Linked DNA regions of Rhinolophus ferrumequinum. The protein of the gene in region 1 interacts with the protein of each later gene in a biochemical or structural test. Links are inferred from orthologs where the notes say so. Each region holds a gene or a part of one and is shown on either strand. Other genes may lie near its edges.

Region 1 (6,927 bases):
CACTAGACTGCCCACCCGGCCCATCACAGGAGAAGGGATAGGCCAGGAGCTACCTGGACCTTTTCAGGGAGATGGCTCAAGCAGCCTGAACTGATGTCACTCTGATGGGCAGAGACGCCCAGCTGGAGAGTCAGGCCCCTGAGCACAATCCAACTGTGTGGCCAAATGGATGTGCAAACAGACACTGGAGTCAGAGTGAGCTGGGTTCCAAGACACAGCCCTGAAAGTAAGAACCAGGGGCTGTATACTAAGGGCGAAAGAGACCCCATACGTGGCCTAAGAGGAGGAACCAACACACACGAGAGCACACACCCTGTCCATTTCAAATCCAACATCCTGCCGCTCGAACTCTGTTCTGTTCCCCCAGACATGGGAAAGAGGTTGGGAGGCTGCCGGCTCATGGTGCCCACCTACCCACCTTGTTACCTGGGGTGCCTGTACCATCTTTGCCTCTGGAATCAGGGTCAGGCAAGGTGGGCACTTACCCCCGCCGCCCGTCATCTCATCGGATCCCCCCACCAACCATGCAGGATGGGTGCCTGTGTCCCCATTTCACAGAGGTAGAAGCTGAGGCTTGCAGGGAACAATGAACAATTAGGGGCCCAGAGCCAGCCAGTTGGCAGAGCTGGGATTCACATGTTGATCTGGCTCACTCCTAGTTTTAAAATGGAAGCCGCTCATGGGCAAGAAAAAGGAGTGGGTAGGTTCTGTCTGGAATTCCGACCTCTGGGTGTGCTTGAGTCGTAATGAGGCCTGGGTGTGCTGGACTGAGATGATTTAGGACAAAGGTCCCGGGTGGCTATTATGCATTCATTTCAAAAATGTTACTGAGCCCCTCCCTGCTCTGTGCCAGGCACAGTGCTGGCGATATAAACACAAATCAGCCACAGTGGTTGCCCTGGGGAACTCTCCATGCAGTGATGGAGATAATAAAGAGATGATTCAAATACCGTGTGTTCAGAGCAATAAAAGATGTAAGGACAGGGAGCAGGAGGAGGCGGCGGGGACAGTCTCCTTGGGAGGTGAGAGGTCTTGGAGAGAGTGCCCAGTGGAGAGGGGGGCTGACGGGTTCTCCGGCTGAGGGAGGTCAGGAAGGGAGGGACAAAGACTGAGTGAATACGGTGTGCTAGAGGAGAATTTGGACCCTCGGTGCGGTGGGGTAGGCACAAGGGGGAGGTGGGGAGAGTCGGCTGCCAGATAGTGAAGGGCCGTGGAATATATGGTTATTCCACAATAGCGAGCCCTGATTGAGCATGTACTGAGTGCCAGGCGTGGTCACAGCTGCACCTGCCTAAGGAGGGAGGCAGCTCCAGTGCTACTTGCCCCATGGATAGGTGTGTAACAATCACTGTGAAATATTTAATTCAAATACCGGGCACTTACTGAGTACCAGACACTGAGCTTTGCAGACAGCCTCGTGTAATCCCGATAAACCCACCAGGCAGCTGCTATGGCCCCCAACTTACACAAGAGGAAATGGAGGCTTAGAGAGGTTAAGGAACTTGGCTTGAGGTGGCCCAGTGAATACAGCTGAGCTGGCTTAGGCCTGCCCAGCCACCACTGTGGGCCCATGTGCCAAGCACCAAGCTCACGGGTTTAGATCCCATCCTGTGACTGCAAGGTTATGAGCCAGGGAGCTGCTACTGCTCTCTCCCCATGGGTGTGGAGGTGGGGAAGCCATCGACAAAGGTGGGCAGAGCTGGAAGTACACCTCCTCTTCCTCCTAGACCAGTACTACAGGCACCCCTTGCCCTCTGCCCTGTATCGTCCTCCCAATGAGCTGTCACCTGCCACCCACAATCTGCAGAGCACTTTCCCCCATACCACCTTTTTCACTTATGAGGACTAATGAAGATGCCTTAACAGCACCCACTTTGCAAACAAATTCAGGCTACAACTAATCAGTAAACCATGAAGTGCTTTACGTAGGAGAGGCCTTTGAGGAAAAAAATAACACGATATTACCATTGTTTTGCAATGTCAAGGCAGGTCACCTGCATGCCCAGATTTCATGGCAATTTCCTACAAGAGGGATTTAACAGTACTGACTGGCTATGCATAACTCTAAAGGCAGGGGGGGTGGCGCGCTGCACAGAGCTGGGATTCAAATGCCTGGACATAAAGGAACTCAATTCAGTATTCCATAGGGGCATGAGTACTTCTGTTATTTATAAAATTCTAGAGAAGGTAGGTATCACTGTATTCCAAGGTCCCCATTTTACATATGGGAGAACCAAGTCTCAAAGAAGTTCTGTGATTTGCTTGTTGACCTGAAACCCCAAGAGGCCTGGCGACTGTGTCCCTGGGACAGGGGGACTGGGTAGGAGTGGTTCTACTCCCTTCTGCTGGCCTAACAAAGCACACACAAATGCAGGTGTCATACCACCACCTATGGGAATCTGATTCTGTGCTCATCCTGACAGCAGGAAGCCAAGCGTTGCTGTCCTTTCAGATGGGGGTGGCGCATGTGCTAGGTCCTCTACCACCCCCCCCAGGCCCTCTGGCACCCAGCAGCAAAACCAAAAGGGCAATGGGAGGAGCTGAACATGATGCAACTGCTGGGGGAGGGGGTGTGCTACTTGTGTGAGTGCCAAAGTTCAAAAAAATAAAAGAATGGCAAATCAATGCCCTCAGCACAAAGTTCAAACTGTATTTCTGCCCGGGACCAACTCCCTAGTCTCTGACCCCTGGCAGGGATGCTTTGACTCCTGCCCCACCCTTGCCAATGCCGGCTTGGCAATGGCAGGAAGTGGGAGCCTGGAGGCCCTGGCATTCCGGGCACTAGGAGCTCCGGCTGGACAGGGCTCCTAGTGACCTCACTTCCTTCACTTCCACCGAACCAGTTGGTCCTCTCCGGCTCCACCTTCTACCTTAATGCTAAACTGTACCCTTTCTCTGTCTAGGGGAGGCTCCTGCTGGCACCAGACACCTGCGCCACACACTGCCACCAGGTGGAGAGCTGCTGCAAGCCATATAGGCCCTGCTCCCACAGTCTGCACCAAGACCTCCCCCTTCACTCTCTGGGGACAGGAGGCTCAGCACAACTTGTTTTGCCTCTGCTCCTCCTGCAGCTGACCCAAACTGGGATCGTTTAGGGAAAAACCAAACATGGGCAAAAAGCAACCAGCCTGCTTGGCTGTCGGGGCACTGGAGTGAGTCAGACGATGCCAGGGCAAGACCACCTGCCCACAGCATGCTCCGCTGGCCCCTGCAGAGCTGCGTGCCCCGGGACCACTCCCTCTCCTCCTTCCCCCTCAGCCACCTTTCTCCTCCTTCAAGATCCTCCCTCCCCGCCGACACAAGCTAGCGCTTACTCCTCACATTCCTGAGAATCATAAATCCTCCTGGGCGGCAGAGCCGCCGCCGCCGCCACCACCCCCGAGAGGCCTCTGCACCTCCTCCCCGCACCCCACCCCCCACTTCGCCCTAAGACGGTGGGGCTTCCTCTGTCTTTCTTAGAAGTCACACTGGACTTCAGGAAGAGGATGAAGTCCAGCCGGGCTGAAGATGAAGTTAAGGATACACACACCCGTGGGCTGGAGGGTAAAACCCTGCCTGCGACCCCTGCCCTCCCAGCGCCAGGGTTCCGCACAGAAAGGGAGTTGTTATTCCTCTAGCTTTTTGAAGTCGGGGCCGCACTCACTTTACCCCAGCTTCTGTTACCACCCACAGGGACCGTGGAGGAAGCTGGCAACTATGCGGCGGCTAGAAGTAGGATAGCCGAAGAACCGGCCCGGAGAGGGTGGGACTAGAGGATTGCGAAAAAACGAGAGCAGACACCACCAACAGAGCCGAGGAAACGGGGACTGGATTTCCCTGAGTCGCCCTCCCTTCCCTCACTTCCAAAGGCCAAGGGACAAGAGGTGCAGGTGGCAAAGAAGCTCAGAGTCCAAGCGAGTCTGGAGAGGGGGTGGGGGTCGTGGGACGCAGCCCCAAGCCTGTAACTGCCAGTGAGCCCGGTAGGCGGGCGGAAGCAGTCTCCCCCTCGAGGATCGAGTTTCAGAAAGACAAGGCGGGCGCGGGGCGCTTGGGTCTCTCCCCCATCCTTCCCTCCCACGCCGTTCCAGCCTCGCCGCCCGGCCCAGCCCGCACTTACCCGCTCGGGATGGCTCTTCTCGGCTTCACGCGGTTCCTGAGCGGCGGCCTGCGGCTCATTTTCGCCGCCAGCCTCCTGTGTCTCGGCGGCGGCCGGAGGCTCGGCCTGCCTGGGCCCTTCCTGGACGCGCAGCAACTCTTCCCGGACCTGGACGCCCAGCTTCTGCAGCCGCTCGTCGGTCTCGGGATCGACCACCAGCAGACGCACCGCATTGAGCGCCGCGCGGATGCGGCTCACCACTTGCTGATGCGTCTCCTTCTCCACGTTCTCTCCGTTCACCTCCACCAGCCGGTCTCCCGCCAGCAGCCCCGCCCTCTCGGCCGGCGAGCCGGGTTCTACCAGCCGGATGAACTGGCCCACCTTGCCCTTCTCCCCGTGCAGATGGAAGCCATAGCCGTTCGGACCCTTCTCCAGGCAGCAGAGCCGGGGCAGGGGTGCCCCGGCCGCCGCGTCAGAGCTCATCTCGCTCTACGATGGCTCAGCGGCGCTACGCAGGGTCCGGTAGGGGTCCGAAGACTGCACGGTCCAGTCCTTTTCCCAGCCCTGCGGACTGCGAGGCTGGAGGGAGCGCGGCCACAAATCTCCGCGCCGGCAGAACGAGCAGGTGTCCCGCGAGCCGCAGCAGTGAACTGCGAGGAGCCAAAAAAATAACTCGTAGACCAATCCCCGTCCCGCGCGGCGTCTGAGCGTCCCAGAACCCGCCCCGGACCTTATTTAGGAGGCGGGGCCGCGCCGAGGGTGTGGACCACCTCGGACCAATCAGGGACCACGGGCAGGGGGAGCTCTGGCCGGGTGAACGACGCCGGCCAATGGGAACGCGCAGGGGCGGTGCCCTGCGCTCGGCCCGGCGCCCCGCGGCGGGAGAAGAAAGGGCTCAGGAAGTGGAAGTGTTTGTTACCAAGTGGCCGGAGTTGAGGCGGGGGGCGGGGCGAGTTCCAGATTCTGGGTAGACGGGCCCGCTGGCTGGGTTCTGATTTTCCCCCACTAGTGGCGGGAATTGAGGAGAGCAAACCGGTGGGTAAAGGACTCTAAAGTTTCAACAGCCTTGAGCCAAAACCTAGTGTGCAGCCCCAATGCGGGGGTGGAGGGGCGAACGTTGCCGGGGAAACCGCTCCGGGTCTGGGGCTACGAGGTTTCCAGCGGTCTTAAGAATAACACTGAGGTCTACCTCGGACCCAACAGAGTTGTTTGGATAACAACATTTTCCCGTTTGTGGAGTCATTTTGTGCTGTCTCAGGACCTGCTTATGGGGGGGAGGGGGCGTGCTCTGATCCTCACTGGGACAGTGTGAAGGCTCAGCAGAGAGCCCGAGAATTTGCAGGGTCTGTCCACTGAGGACAGGCCACCTAGGGCAATGGCCTGGGCATTGGCGTCAGCGTCTGGCTAGGGAGTTGGGGTGGGGAGAGGCAGAACAGAGTCAGGTAACCAATCTCTGGATACAGTCTACAGGGAAAAGGGCCCAGGCTTCCTTCAATAGAAAAAGAAAAAAAATGATTAGGACCTTAAGATAAGCCTTTAAGCTCCTTCCAGATGAAAGGCTGGTCACAGAGTCTGGGGGGCAGTCTGTTAAGGGTGAGGTGACCAGTTGGGAACACTGAAGGACGAGGATCAAATGATTTTGGCAGTCAGTGACAGTGCCTCCAACATGCACTAACAATCCTTTCAACATGATCCCCCCTCCCCCATGCACATCTCAAAGAAGCAGTGGACAGGGTGTACTTTCCAAACTGCAGTTTAATTCTGAAGAACACAAATGCTAGAGGCCCAGAGCAGCCTATGTGATTGGACCCCTTGCGACCTGCCTTGGGCAAGGTCAGGCTCCTCCTTGCTCTGCCTGGGAGAGGCCTAGGAGAGCTTCCTTATCTGGCCCAAGTAGGAGCTGCTGACTCTGCTCAGACAGCAAGATTTCTGCCTTGAAAGCAAATGCAGTAGCCTCAGAAATGTGCAGTGCATACCTCTTTCTTGCTCCTTCCCCCACCCGTAGCCTGGAAGAGCTGGAGTGAAAGTGCCTCTGGTCATAACATGCACGTCTCTTGTCCCCTTCTGGTGTCTGGGGTCAGGGTTCTGGGAGCCATGTGACCTTGGCCCCACAAAAACTCATTGCTGCCCCTCTCCTCACCCCAGTCTTACCCACATGACCTTGTTTTGCACGTATCACGCACATCACGTTGATTTATCCAGAAAATGGATGACTTCTCATTCCCTAACTTGGCCCAATAGGAGGGGAGATAAAGCAGTTTGGGCTCTGGTGTCTGTCGCAGAAGAAAAGGGTGTTGGTGGTCAGGGGAGAGGCAGCACTTGATACACGTGGGGTGAGGTTTGCTTCCCACCTGCTCCAGGAGTCAGAGGTTTTTCTTTATCTGGCACCTCAGCTTTTTGAAAAAGTAGCCTGTGGGCTGCATACCTGCCAAAGGGTTGGGACAGGAATAACCTTTCCCTTGCTGTGACCTTAGGTATCTAGGGGCAGAGACAGGAAGGCAGGTGAGAGAAGGGATTAAGGAAGGAGGGGCTCCCCTGGATCTGAGGGCCAGAGAATGGGAACCGAATGTTTCCAGGTACCCCAATGTGATTGTGGGCTGAAGGAAAAGGGGTACACCTCTGGGGGGGGGGGTTGGAATGCCAGAGGTAGCCAGCCAGACCCAATCTCCGCTACTCCACTCTCCCCCTCCCTGGGAGCTGGGCCCCAGCCCAATCTCCACATTTCTTATCTTCCCTGATAAGAGATAAGCTTTGGTCTAGCTCCTGGCACAAGGGCCCATCCTATGGGGAAGATTGTCCCTGGAGAGCTAGAGGAAATGAAGGCCGGGGTCTGCTCAGCCTCCCTCCAGCTG
Region 2 (6,927 bases), on another chromosome or scaffold:
TACCTTTGAAGCTGGAGGAAGAGAAGGAAGAGAGAAAATGGAGGGCCTGTGGTCTAGAGTCACAGACCAAGGCCCCACATGTGCAGCTGCCTCCTTCCAGATGGGCCACCCAGGGACCACTCCACTGCCAGCTCCATGCGCTTTTGGGAACTAATCGTTCAAGAAAAGAGGATGCTCTGAGCTTATAAACTGGAGAAGGTGGTGGGAAGGCAAGGAGGCAGGCTCTGGCCTGCCAGGAGGGCCCTGGCCCTACCCCAGTAAAAACTGGCATAGACCAAACTCTAAGGATGCCAATTAAGCCAGTTCTATGGTTTCCAAAGTCATAGGGCTGCCATAGTTGGCTAGGAGAAGTGGAGGGCCCAGGGGACAGGGAAACTGAATCAGCAGAAGACAACACTACTGTTCCAGATGCTTCTCCCGAGGCCCAACGCAGATCCCTCTCTCCCCCGACAGGAAGCCAACACCCACAGGATCCCAGAGAGCAAAGCTCCTCACCTCACATGGCCTGCCACACTGAGCAGGCTGAAGCTGGGTGGGAAGCTGCAGCTCAGGCCAGGCCTGGCAATCACATGGGAACCGGAGAGGGAGGTCAGGGACCCACCTCTCTCGGGCCAGGAGACCTGGTATCTAACTGGTATCTAACTTCTTTCCCTTCCTGACCACCTCCTCTTTGCTACAGAAGGAACACCCACCGCCCCAAACAGGTTTGCTCTTCCTACCCCCAAAGCGATAGCAATGGTAACATCTCTCCTTGTACCTTTTCCTGCTCAGGACACTGTTTTCTCCTCCTCTGGTCCTTCCTGGGCTTCAACAACCAGCTCAGTTCTCAGCTAAGCCAAAGGAACTAGCATGGCCAGCACCCTTGTCTGTGCCCATGCCACCCACAGGATCCTTTGCTGGCTGGCTGCTTTCTTGCCTTTTCCCACTTACTGGCTAATGCTCAAGATCAGGGAGTGACCATCTCAGTCCCATCAAAGGTTCCCTGCAGAGTAGGCTCAAAAGACAGACAAGGTGAAGAGGCAAAAAGGGCCTAGAGGGCTGGCAATCAGGAGTTCTGGGTTCAATTCCTGACGTTGCTCCTAATAGACTGAAGAGGTAAGGCTAATCACTTCTCTCAGGTCTCAGTTTACCTATCTGTAAGATGACGGCCACTAAGGTCACTTTCAGCTTTCTGATTTGAAATATTTGTCAGTAAATGTCATTCAGTAAATAAGTATTAATTGAGCATTTACTTTGCTGTAGGCCTGAGGAGAAAAGCTGAACAAGTCTGGCCCCTGCCCTGAAGCTGATCAGTCTAATGAACTGGTAAAGACGACACACTCTTACCCCTGCTGGGCCGTCCCTGTTAGACTCCTCCACTTCTGAGGGAGTCAAAAGTGCTGAGCTAAGCCAGGGAAGGTGAGGCTGGGCAGCTTCCTGTTAGGAAACCTTCTGTTCTACTGTCCAGCACCTGATTTTATGCTGGGACCATAGGCCGTTAATGAATGGTGAAGGCAGTGGAAACTGTCCTGACCTTGGGAGTCAGACACCCTGGGTTCAAGTCTTGCTTCTGCTACTAATATGCTGTGTGATCTTAAGCAAGTTATTCTGCTCTCTGGGCCTCGGTTTCCTCATCTGTATAATAAGTAAGGGCTAAGCTGATCAATCTCTTAAGATCTCTTCCAGCTCAGCTCAGTCTTTGATTTTACGATCTACTCATGCCAGGCACCTAACAGTCACCTGAGCGGGTAGCCTCTGTCCTGCTTTCTTCCCCATCCCCCCAGCCCCTGGCATCTGCCAAAACTGACCATCTTGAGACAATCTTTGGCCCAGCATGGCTGAAATGGACCTTTCATCTGGAGCCAGAGTCCCTGCCATCTCCACTGCAGCCATCAGTGCTAATGTTTCACTTCTCTGGGATAGCACATGGACTCCTAGACTTCGACCACGAGACTGGGTTCAGGGCAATCACCCTGAAACTTCCCATAACTTCCCCTCTCATGGTCATGGGCAGCGACTTACTTTTGGTTTTTTTGGAACCACAATATAAAGTAAGCAGGAGACAACAATGCTTTCAGAACCAGAGATTTTAGGTTGACTAACAGGGTCAAGAAAATGAGGCAGGGAGTGAGGAGGGGACCTGGGACCCCACCTCAGCCCCAGCGCTATGGACACGAGTGATGCAGAGGGTGTCCACGGCCTTTGTGGTTGGAGGGTGGGGAAGACAGATGTCTGGCAGCCTGGTTGGGGACTACAGCCAAAGGGAGGTGCTCCCACTGGGGCCTCTCTCTGTCCACAAATACCAGAGGTACGCCCTCATTTTTCTCCTCAATTTTCAGACCCTTAGAAGGAAAAGAAAGGAAACTAATGTTTTCTGGGCCACTACTTGTGCCAAGCACTGTGTGAGGCACCTTTGCATACCTGATCTTATTTAATCTCCACAGTAATCTTGGGAATAGGTGTTATTATTTCCATTTAAAGTGAATAAACAGGCTCAGAGATTCAGCATCTTGCCCAAGGTCACACAGCCAGCAAGTGTGAGTTCTTCCTACATCTAGACTTCTTCCTCTATATCACACTGCTCTGTACCCCGAGATCTAGTTAACTGCCTTATAAACATGTAGTAGGAATTCTTACCTCCTAGAATTCACCAACAAATCTGAGCTCTTCCTTCCAAGAACCCACAAATGCAACTGGGAACTCCTTTCCCACTTCTCAACACCCGATCCCTCCCAGGGTTCTGGTCCCTGGTGACTACTCCTCAATTCACAAATATACCTTAAATCCCCTTTGGGTTCTCACAAGCTAATCTCTAGGGAATCTGACAACGCGTCAAGTCAGGATGAGGGATCAGAATAAGAGGTGTTCTCTGAGTGCTGGACTGGGCTAGGCCTAGTGGTCGTGAGCAAGTGGGAAGAGGTCGGAGGACACAGATCCAGTAGGAATGAACTCTCCTTAAGGAAGGGGCCTGCATTTCTCCAGAGGAGGAGGCCTGGTGAATACGAAGCTTTGAGACTGGGGAAAATCCCGGAAGTGACCTTGATGGGGCTGCTTGTGTGGGCTGGGACTCTTACACTTCCCTAAGTCAGAAGAGGCTGGAGGAGCCCTGGGCAGTTACAACTGGTCAGAGAAGGGGAGGAAGGACCCTCTGGAGAAGGGTCATGGCTGAGTACTGTGGGGCCCCCCAGGTGACTGTGGGGGGCTATCTCTGTCGAAGTGGAGGCACATCAGGAGGGAGGCTTCAGTTCAGTGCAGAGCACTGGTCTCCTGTGACAGGACAGGGTGGGAGAGGGGTCTGGAGTCCCTCTTTCCTGAGGGGACCACTAGCCCACACTATGATCTCTGCGAGGACTGGGCTCAGGGGATCCTGTGGGGGCAGAATAAGGCTGCCCACTGTTCCCAGCGTGGAGGGAAGGTGCCATGCCACCGCTCACATTTCTCTGCCTGCTGAGTGCCTGGGTGCTCTGGGGGTAGGCGATTTCAACCCTGCTGTCTCCCCGCCGGCCCCTCCTCTCCAGTCTGAGTTTTGGGAAGAAGTCCACATTTCCAGAGCATACACAGAAACAGCAGACAGCCTGTCCTGGAGGGGAGGCACTCTCGCCTTGTGGACACTGGGAAGGGGGAGTGTCTGCCCACCTGTTGCCAGTGACAGGGAGAAATCGGCCTTTGAAGGGGGAGGGAAGCACTTCTGATCCTTCTGTGTGGCGAAGGGGCTGTGTGTCCCAGGGGGGCTGTCCATACGTTAGTTGACCAATATCAGTCCATCCAGAGGTGTGTCTTGACGTAAGGGTCAGTCTATCCTGGAGTGGGGTGGGCACAGGATAGTCTGTCCCTTTGAAGCCTGCCTAAGGTGTCCCCTGGTGTGGGGACACCACACCAGGGGTTATTTAATGGGGTTAATAAGACAAGGGCGTCTGTGGGTCTCGTGGGGGGGGGGTATAGAGAATATCTGTCTGTTGGGGGAGGGGCAGCCATCTGTGAGCCTGTCAGGAGGTGGCAAAGTCAATCAGCCCCAATGCCAGGGTGGCAGCAATGATGTTGGAACAAGTGTCTGTCCCACAGCTGGGAGGAGGGCACTGTCGGTCGGCCTTTCCTGGGGGGGCCACCACTGGATGGATGGTGAGGGCAGAAGGAAGCTGGATTTGGCCTGTCTGTGCCTCGGTCGGAAGTAGGCTCGCGGGTGAGGGGCAGGTCAGTCTGTCTGGGGGAGATGGGGGGGCAGGGGAGAGAAGGGGTCGGTTGTCTCTGGTTGGGCTGGGGGCATGTCTGTCCGTCCCGAGGGCGCTGTCCACGTCGAGCCCTCCCCCCGCGGGTCCCACGCCCGGCCCCGGCCCAGGGCCCCGAGCCTCGGTGCTACTCACGCGCCCTCCGCGCCCTGCGAGCCCACGATGAAGCCGAACTTGTCGATGCGGCGGTCGGCGAAGCCGTTGGCCTCTGAGTCGGAGCCTAGAGAGCTGACCTCGTCGGCGGTTGCGGCGTCCGGACCCGGGGCCAGGCTCTCCCGGGTCCCAGATAGGCTTCCCCCGGCCGCGGGCGCGCGAGGCCCGTTCTCTCCAGGGCTCTTCGCCATCCCGGCCGCGCCCGCCGCCTCAGCTTCAGCGGCCACCTCAGCCACCTCAGCCGCCTCAGCCGCCCAGCCACCGCCGACGCCGCCGACGCCCCGCCCACTCGCCGTGCCCATTGGCAGCCGCAAGACTGGGGGCGGGACCCTAGGCCCTCCCGGGAGCTCCCCCCTACGCCCAATGGGCGCCGCGGACCCAGGGGCCCTCCCACCTTCCTCAGAATGGCGCCAACTGGCCCGACGTGAGGGGGCGGAGCAGCCGTCACCCGGAGCCCTCCCCCCCAGGGCTGCCAATCACGAGAGCTCACCTGAAAGAGCTCTGGCCTTTCCGGGTTAGCTCGAGCTGGGCCTGTCACCTGCAACGCCAAGCAGGCAGAGGCGGACCGAGGCGTCCGCCGGAGATTCCGCATCTTCCTCCTGAGCCGCTCCTCGCGAGACCCCAAGAACATTGGTGGGGATTATTTCATCCATTCACTTATGAGGAGCTCTGAGGAGACTCCGGATGGTTCGGGGATTCGCCCAGGAACAGAGGCTTAAAGACCCAGGCTGACCTAGAAGTTCCTCAGACCTTCCCCCTCACCCTCTTACCCCCACCCCCCACTCCCGCTTACTGCTTCTGGGGCTTTAAATTAGCTCGTGGGAGACCTAATTAATAAGAATAATAACCAACGTTTATTGAGCTATTCACTGCCCCAAGTTCTACCTACTTCTTGTAATCTTTTTCTTCCCAACAGGTCTGAAATATAATCAACATACCATAAAAATCACCCGTTTAAAGTTTGTAATTCAATGGTTTTAAGCATATTTATAGAGTTGTGCACCCATCACCATAATCTAATTTGGGAACATTCTCAACACCCCAAAAAGAAATTCCTATCTATTAGCAGTCACTCACCAACATTCCTCCCCCAGTCCCTGGCAACCACTAATCTGCTTTCTGTCTCTACAGTTTGCCTTTTCTGGACATTTCATATAAAAGGAACCATATGATTGTGTGGCCTTTGTGTGTCTCGCTTATTTCAATTAGCATAGCGTTTTCAAGGTTCATTCATGTTGTAGCATATGTCAATACTTCATTTCTTTTTATGATTGAATAATATTCCATTGTACGTATAGACCACATTTTATTTGTCCATTTGCCAGGGATAGTCATTTGGGTTGTTTCCACTTTGGGTTGTTTCTATTTTGGGACTATTTCCACATAGCAGCCAATGCTGCTATGAACATTCAGGTACAAGCATTTGTGTGGACATATATTTTCATTTCTCTTGTGTAAATACCTAGGAGTGGGAATTTCTGGGTAATATGTAACTGTTAAACCTTTTGAGGAACTGGCAAACTGTTTTCCAAATTGGTCACACCATCTCTTGTAATCTTTTAGCACAACAAGGTAGATACTATTACTAGCCTGATTTTATAGTTAAGGAAAGTGAGGTACAGGGAAGTGAAGTCCGGTGCCTAGGATCTCAGAACTAGCTTATGGCAGAGCCAGGATTTGAATCTAGCTCTTACCAACAGCTTATATTGGGAGGCACAGGCCAATTGCATCCACACAGACTCAGCTCCCAGCAGCCTACTTCTGACCCCGGGATTATCAATACTTGGAGCCATATGATAGTTCCTCACTTAAGTCCAGTGCTTTAGAGTTTACAAGTCACAACCATCTTGTCAGGTGACACTCTCTTGTAGACCTGTGGGGGAGATAGGCCCAGAGAGGGGAAGGGACTGAAAGAGCCAGGCCTGAGCTGCAGGGCCTGGGACAGGTTTCTAAGGAGCCCAAAGCAAGCCCCAAGAAGTTGGTTTTAAGATTTCAGTGATTTTACCAGCCACATGGCCTAGACATTCTTGAAGACTTTGCTGTGCAGTTTTCACATTCCATTGGCTTCTGGTTTTCCATAAACAGGGCAACGACGGACATGGGAGTGGGCACAGGCTATTTTGGTCGTAAACTCTGTCTGGGAGGACGTTCCTCCTCTCTAGTGGTTCCAGACATAGTAGTGGGCTCTTAGTCCCAGCTCCCAGGAGGGGCAGAGTGAGCTTCTCAGCAAGCTGTAGGCCTATCCCAAGAAAAGAGCTCCAGGAGCCAGATACACCTGGAGCAGATACGAAGCTCCAAGCCTGGCAAAGTATCCGCATCCTTTGACTCCATAATTCTGGTCATAGGGTCATATCCCAAACACGTTCAGCTCTGCAAGGGCACATGTACAGCGATGTTCACCCTGGGATATTTGGGGTGGGGTTGGGAGAAGGGTAGAGGGACGTTTTTTGGGAGACCGGGTAGCTGTTTCTCAAGTTAAGGCCTTGATGCCCCCCGGCTTTTAATTTTCTTACATAAGACCACCCAGGACTCAAATCTCTGCTCTGTCACTGTGTGACAGTGAACAAAT

What was found. The genes of interacting proteins can lie anywhere in the genome.
Region 2: the proteins of NHERF1 (region 1) and TBC1D10A form a complex in vitro, tested with the Homo sapiens proteins (2 studies listed by BioGRID and IntAct). The link is inferred for Rhinolophus ferrumequinum from reciprocal best matches to the Homo sapiens genes NHERF1 and TBC1D10A.

What each region holds. Positions count from the first base shown.
Region 1 is NC_046304.1:49,904,772-49,911,698, reverse strand, and holds the start of NHERF1 (Na(+)/H(+) exchange regulatory cofactor NHE-RF1), read right to left. Parts: upstream 4,798-6,927; 5' UTR 4,559-4,797; coding exon 4,097-4,558; intron 1-4,096. UniProt on the Homo sapiens protein: Scaffold protein that connects plasma membrane proteins with members of the ezrin/moesin/radixin family and thereby helps to link them to the actin cytoskeleton and to regulate their surface expression. Necessary for recycling of internalized ADRB2.
Region 2 is NC_046308.1:19,520,630-19,527,556, forward strand, and holds the start of TBC1D10A (TBC1 domain family member 10A), read right to left. Parts: upstream 4,652-6,927; 5' UTR 4,550-4,651; coding exon 4,341-4,549; intron 1-4,340.